Drosophila melanogaster: one gene and its partner. The protein of the gene in region 2 interacts with the protein of the main gene of each other region in a pairwise test. Each region holds a gene or a part of one and is shown on either strand. Other genes may lie near its edges.

Evidence for each region. Proteins that work in one complex are often made in the same cells at the same time.
Region 1: the proteins of CG6290 (region 2) and ced-6 interact in a two-hybrid assay, tested with the Drosophila melanogaster proteins (one large-scale study listed by BioGRID).

What each region holds. Positions count from the first base shown.
Region 1 is NT_033778.4:9,441,928-9,446,687, forward strand, and holds the start of ced-6 (ced-6), read right to left. Parts: upstream 3,011-4,760; 5' UTR 2,757-3,010; coding exon 2,746-2,756; intron 1-2,745. Other genes in the region: Camta (Calmodulin-binding transcription activator), read left to right, coding at 4,506-4,584. UniProt on the Drosophila melanogaster protein: Plays a role in axon pruning in larval mushroom body neurons during metamorphosis. Plays a role in the infiltration of glial cell processes into mushroom body lobes and the subsequent engulfment of degenerating axon branches.
Region 2 is NC_004354.4:18,435,954-18,438,755, reverse strand, and holds CG6290 (uncharacterized protein), read right to left. Parts: upstream 1,267-2,802; 5' UTR 1,253-1,266; coding exon 605-1,252; 3' UTR 523-604; downstream 1-522. Other genes in the region: CG32548 (uncharacterized protein), read left to right, coding at 1,955-2,802.

The sequences.
Region 1 (4,760 bases), on a different chromosome or scaffold from region 2:
TTAAAAATAATATAAAAATTGAACTATTCATTTTAATGCTTGTTGATTTAAAAAAAAAACCGAATATTACCGAAAATTAAAGGATTTATTTTTTAGCTAATATGAGGGCATATGCACTTGAAGTCGTTGTGCCCCAGCAAAATGACCTACGAGTTTTGTGTAGGTGAGAACGTGATCGGCTGTAGTTTTCTCTTTTGCGGTTGGAGCCTCACTGCCACACAAACATATGTCTGCTTAGTAATGCCCGCATGTGTGTGTGTGGGTATTTCTGCTGGTTTACCTGTTGCTTTTCAATTGTTTTACATTTTGCCAGAAAAATGATTTTCCACAAATGCCAGAACATACGGCACTGTCTCGAGATTCCACCGAAATGGTTTTGGCCAATTAAAATTACTGCAACAGGTGGGGGAAGTGCGCTCACACACATGTAACCTGCTTATAGCTATATGTATGCTTGTAATCTCGACCTGACGTAAAAACAAAGACACAGCATTGCCGTTGTTTTTGTTATTAGCCGCACAAGACGAAGAAGCAGAAGCAGCTTAGAGAAAAATTTATTTATTTTCGTAATACGTAATTTCTGGGGCTGTTTGGCCGCTTCAAATACAAATTGCAATAAAACTGGTTCCCCAAGTCGACCATATAATAATGTACCAGGATTTGATTATTGTTGTCGTTATTCGGTGTCCAATTGTTGCTTTCGATGCTGCAGTGGTGTTGTTATTGTTTGGTGGCATGCCTTGCATTTTTCTAGTACACATTTTCCTTTTCCATTTTGCCACATTTTAACTGCAGTCCCTTCCCCTTTAACCGCCCCTCTCTCTTCACTAACCAAAATAAAACCGGCTTGACATAAAGGAGTGTGCGTGATGAGGGTATGTGTGTGTGTGGGGCCACTGCAATTGTAGTTTCAGTTTGGATGCAGGCACTGTGGAATGCAAAAGCCGTTTAGCAAAATAAATTGGCGTGAAAGCCTGAAAACCACAAATAGCTTATGGTACTTAATATTTAATAGCTGTTCGGTTTCTAGGTAAACGATATTAAAGGCTGTAAATGAGGTTGAAACCCTTAAACGGGAATAAACAGCTTTTTAAAGATCAAGTAAGTTTCTGTACGGAAAACTTTACTAATAAGATCATTTCAGGCATTCCTCCTGGCCCAGGGAATTTTAACTTTGTTTGGCCCACAGTACTCTCCTTGTCGTTTCGCTGCATCTGGGCATACGTACAATTTTCCCACACCCGCTCTCTGTCACCGCGATCTCTCTCTCTTTATCTCTTCGCCGGACTTTTAAGCTCCTGTTTCGGCTTTTCTCTCCGCTTAATATTGGCCATTTACAGTTAGAGGCCGCTAGCTGCGCCGCCGACAGCAGATATTGCAGCTATTATTTTCTCTCCCGCTGTAATTTTATTACCAGTTTCCTTTCCGCCGGCCAAAAGGAAGACTCCGAACGGCTTTTCATTGAGAGATTTTCCGTGGAGCAACAGGGTGACCTATGCAACAAAGGGCAACGCTATTTTTGGGCTTTTCAAACTGCAACCTTGCTAGTTAAACCGCTTCCACTCATTAAAACTACATTGAATGTATTCATAAGCTTGCAACAAACTAATGAAGTCATATGTGGATTTTTAAAAGGTTTGTTTAACGACATTGTGTTTCTTGGAAGAAATGTCTACGAGACTTGGCTTTATACATAAGTACATAGATATTTTTCGTACTACGGAGAACCTAGAAGGGCTCAGCGAAACTGGCACCAACAACATGGTTCAATGTGCACTTATTGAGGGGGCGTTCGATCTGCCCCCCATTTGCAAGTAATAATGGCTTTTAAAAACTCGCTATTGCATTTTGATCGGGGTCTCTTTTGAATTGTTATCGTCGCCAAGGGGCGTTGACTGCGTATGCTCGTTGGGCGCGCTGAGGGGAGTCCTGAGGGGGCGTGACTTCGAATGCTTGTTTCGTCGCACATGACGTTATCTTGGCGTCGTTTTCATCATCAAAGCAATAGAGTTCAAAGGCCCAATTAGCCAAATAAAATGCATGAAACCAGAAAATACGTTTCTCACTCATTGTTTTATAAGGCGAAATGTCATTAAATGGTATTGTAAATATTTGTGCGCTGCAATAAAATGGCAGCCGAAGCCAGTTATTCTTGTTGCTTTGCAGCTCGTAGGAACGTGCTGGTATTTTTCAAGCGCAATCGCTCGCTCAGTTTTTCGGGCTTTTCAGCTTTTTCAGAGCCTGGGTGCGGAGCCGGTGTCATCAGCATAATTTACGTGCCGATGCCCGCCCCGCCGAGAGTCACGTTTCCACCTCACGCTCCTTATCACATGTCGACGAGCACGGGGAACACTGTAGGAAATCAAAAGTGGGGAGTACTGTCAAAGTGCCACAAAATGCATATACATATGTAAATAAGAAACTCAAAGCTGCAAATCAAACAAGCAACGCGATTCGGATTAATTCCAATGCCTAAATTATAGCCAGCAATGTAATGTAGCAATATTGAGAGAATATCATATTATCCTAACTATAGATATAAACATAAAATTCTAATTTCAGCTTTATTATGCTTCCCATAAGTAAACATTGACCTTCTTAATATACAATAACTGTCAAATTATCATTACAAGATAATTCAGAAGACAAATATTTTGTTTTCTGGGATCGCGGATTATCAAGTTGGCGGGTTCATTTAGCGCGTGTTGCCTGTGCTTCCAAATGAGCAGCGCTTATCTCGTTTACCTCTTGATCATCGCTTATCAGCGGGGCCCTGAACGCCCCCATAAAGGCACGACACACACACATACATACACAAGTGGCACGCACACGGACATGCACACATTTCGAGTAATTCAATTATTTTGTGTATTATTTTCAATGTGCAACAAAAGCGACAATAAAATAACAAGCCAGCGGCAATATACAGCCAGCAGCCGACTTATCACCGCGCCGTCGCTGTTGTTGCAATGCTTGTTGCTGCTGATGTTGTCGTCGATTTCAAACTGCTGGCACTGACTGGCACTGGCACACAGCTATGGCAATTATTCTGTGTTCGCTTCAGTCGCCCCGCCCGTTGATTTTGATAGAGCCAGAGCCCCGAGACTTCCGCTGGTCGCGGGAAGCGGAGGGAAGCGAGGCGGGGTCGGAAAACCGCGGGGTCGGCTGCTGGAAAAATCCAAGGAAAGTTCGGCGAAAGTCGTTGCCTATCAATGATGGGCGGTCTCAAGGGCTGTACATACATACAAACATACATATATTTTGATAGCTTACAATATACAAATGTACATATGCGAATTACACAAAATGTCATTTACATTTTACGCCCATTTTACTTCCCATTTGCATGCTCCTCTTAAAGGATTTTGACATATAACTTTATGATTGAACTAAGCTAAGAACTAGAATGGTATGTAATATTTTCCTTGGGTTCTAACAAAAGTCGCAGGAATAGAACTTCCTGCTCACGTCCAAGCAAACCAATCTCAGCGTTTTTAAGACAAATATGCATTATAAATTCATCAATCCTTCATTATTTATTTATTTAAGATAATATAACCGAGGCCATCGACTATGTACCTATATACTAATATACATCATTTGATTGAACTAAGATTAAAATTTTCGTAGACTGAAAGGGTATACTAGATTCGTTGAAATGTACATATACATATGTAAGTTAAAGAAGGGTGGAACCGTCAGCTGGACGTCGGCGGTAAACAGCGGACACGGCGGGATACATCGGAGTTTAAAATTCAACAGAAAGAAAATAATTATAAAACGTATAAAAAATGACTAACAAAACCCGGATTTGAAATTCAATACGATATTTTAAATATAGTGCCCGATTTCCGATAATTGAATGTTGGAGTTGTCATCTTGACCGATAAGCCGATAAGTGGAACACTTGGGGTGCTGCCAGATGGTTAGATATAGTTTAAACTAATTTATATCAAACATAGACTTGTAAGGTTAAGATTACAAGGTTATTGGCTTGTAAAGTATTCTTGCTTTCTTGTATAATAAGTTATCAATTTTAAAAAATTCGAAATCATTGTCGTTAAGTTTTGTGGGAGCTCGCCCTTTGCAACATCTGGCAACTTTGCCGTCATATGTTTGACAGTTTGACATGCACACAGTTTTGGAGTAGCTCAAAATATTTTCGCTATCGTTTTTTTTTAATAATTTCGTGTGTGAAACGGTGATATTATTGATTTTTGTTGCATTTTATGCATCGTCCAGCTGAAGCACATCGAAATCCGCCAAGGGACTCCACGGCTTGCGCACAGGGAGGCAGTGAAAAAGTTTTGTTTACCTTTTTTCGATATCCCAGAGTTCTGCGATTTCGGTGTCGCTGTGTGCGTGTGCGAGCGCCCATGTCACCTGTGTGTGTGTGCGTGCGAGCTGGTGTGCAAAAATGAAAATGCATTCTCAATAAAGCGAAATAAATGTGCCAACCGCTAAGAGAGTAGTGCATTCTAAAATTGGTTGTTAAAGCTGTGCACATGGAAAATGTGCCCGATATTTCCACCAGCGCTTCGTCCTCTTCTACTTCTAATTCAACTTCCACACTGAAACTCCAAAGTAAGTTAGCCCCAACTCCCCCTACCCCTATCACCCATCCCTCTTCTACATGCATATATGTAAGTTATATCTGTGCTGTAGCCCACGTATCTCCCGATTTTCGACCTGATAGTCGTGCTCTCCTCGATATTGGTTTTCCAATTAGTTTTTGTTTTGTTGTGTTTCGCTTTGCGTTG
Region 2 (2,802 bases):
CGTTGGCTCATCGTGACTCGGCTCGTTTCCGTATCTCCCATCTGGACAGCCTTCAGTAGTCGAGTTGCTGTGGTGACCCCAATGGCCTTCTCCTCGGACCACTTTCGATCGGATTGCTCAGAAATGACAGTTCGCTTTTTGCTTTATTGCCTCTGCCTGAGGAATCTTTATCGATTGGGGGTGACTCTTCGGCGGTGACCTTTTTAAAGAGCAACAAATAAGGTTGAGTTCTTAAAGGTATGCCACTTTAAAATGGTAACCGGATTCCAAGTTTTGGGTCACCTTGGTGATATGTTTAGTTGAGCTCACAAGCATTTGTAGTTTAAAGACGGAGTACACGTTTTTTTTGACTCTAATGCCGTTTGGGGTCACCTTTTACCAAAGGTGATTGGCCTTAATTGGCTACTACATTGATAATATGATGGGGTCTTAAAATGGATGTAATCTATAGTACATATTTGAATGAAGACGTAATCGTAATGTTTTTGGCCAACCCAGAAAACATGCCGCTCAACACAGTTTCCGGTTTTCAGTTGATTTTATTGCACTTATAAACAAACAAAAAAAATACACTCGATGGTGGTCGTCAGGGAGCTCGGTGATTCTACGCCGTGGAGTTGGCCGTTTCGGTGATCTTCTGGCGCACCTGCTGCACCACATCCGCTACGTTGTTCACAAACGAAAGCCACATGGCCTTGATTCTGGTGCCCAGGCCCAAGGGATCCGCTCCGTCCATATTCTGTGTCACTTCCATGCCCTTCTCCTCCTGCCGTCGTCGTCGCACCAACTTCTTGTTCTTTTTGCCAGTGGTCTTGGGACTCACTCGGGATCGGGAGGCATTGTTGGCGGCCCGCTTTTGAGCTCGTCTCCGTCTGGCCTCCACGTCATCGTCGGCGGACGCCGCTGTGGTGGCGGCAGCGCTCATTTTCCAGAAGCAAGGAGCGCGTTTGAGGCGATGCAGGCTCCGCCGCCTTCGCTTCCGACGACGATCCTCCTCGGATGAATCGGTGGCAATGGGACGTATGGCATCTCCATAGCCAACGGCCGTTTTCGAGTGCACGGACATCAGGGGATTGTCAATGTCGACGTCGCGGGAGATGGCGGCGCCACTCTGAACTGCCTCCGCTATATTTCCGGCCAGAGACATGGCGCCCATGCCCAGCGACTCTAGCGGATTCTGTGGACCTGGCCTGGCCGCAATCATGGCCAGACCCGCGACAACCAGGAGAAGTGCCAGCTGATGGCGATTCATCGTTTCTAACTGTAAGGTTGCGGCATTGCATCCGCGCTTTTTAAGCCATCGAATCGCGTGATTCCCTTCGATACATATCGATTTGAATCCACACCATGGCACCGATGGCTAGTAGAGATCACAGTAGGCTTTCGGATTGGCCCGACGACAGCTGTCAGGTGTCACCGGACTGGTTGAGCTATCCAGTCAGTATCACTTGCTCGCTCAGTCGGTTCAGATCGGTTCGTTTTACAATTTTTCCCGCTACAGACTTCGTAAACAAATTGTATCAAAATCTGAATTTGAAAATCAATTTTTGGCTATCCACACTCGAGCTACACAACCTCTCGTCAAAACTTTTAAGTTTACATCGCGACAAACGGAACAACAGGGAATCATGAGATCCAGCAAAGTTCGTGGGGGCAACGCCAGTCGATTGGCTGACGCGGAGGGACAGTGGGGAAAGGGATGCCTGGGTTCCCAGCACTCAATTATCAAGAATCACGGGCGTGGCCTTTCATCCGTGAGTAAAGGAAAGCGTGTTATAAGCTCAATTGTATGAATATTTTACAAAACGAAATCAAAAGTTACACATCGAAAACGGCCTACTACTTGCGCACATTAGACACTCATCTAAATATCATTTAAGCCAGTTCAGAATAAGGATAAAATTGTCCTGGTTTAGCTTCCATTCTCATCCGTTTATTCCTCTAACCTATGCAGCAAACTCCCACGCAATTTGGTGGATTCTCGCCGTCGGGACAGCAGTATCCTGCCGTGTACTCGCAGCCAGGATTCCGGGCCGATGGTAAGCTGAAGGTCACGCCCAACTCGCTGCTCCAGCAGCAGCAACAGCAGCAACAGCAGCAACAGCAGCAACAGCAGCAACAGCAGCAACAGCAGCAACAGCAGCTCCTGGCGCAGCAGCAGCAGCAACTCCTGGCCGCCACATCGCCGCAGGTAGCAGCTGCATCCGGACCAGGAGTGGGCGTTAGCGGTGGCGTGGTCAACATGCCCAGCTATGCGGACCAGATGCACGCCGCCTTCCTCGATTATCAGCGCCAACGAGCCGAGTTCGAGCAGCAGCAGCAGCACCTGCTGCAGAAGCTCTACCACTACTATCCCGATGTATCCGGCGGCCTAACATCACCGGCTCATCAGATTCAACCCCAAACCCCCCAGATAGCTGCTCCCGCCGATGTGGGAGGCGCTCCGGCGGGCGTGGCAGCACAGAACGCAGCTGGCCGCTTCGCCTACCGTCGGCCGCAGTTCAGCAACAATGGCCTGCAGCCCGAGCGCCTTGCATCCGGATCCATTGTGCCCGGAGGTCCAGTAAGAGGAGGTCCAGTTGGAGTCATCCCGGGAGGAGTGATCGGATCAGCGCCTTTGCGCTCCAACAGTCTGGGAGGGGGAGCAAGTGGAGACTTCTACTCCACGCAACAGCACATGGGCTTCATGCAGCAGCAGCAGCAGGACGTGCTCCGTGACCAGCAGCAGTCGGTGGCCCATCAGTTCGCCACCAGCCAGTTGGCGCCCACCACCCGCCAGAGCTATGGGATGGCCGTTCCCAT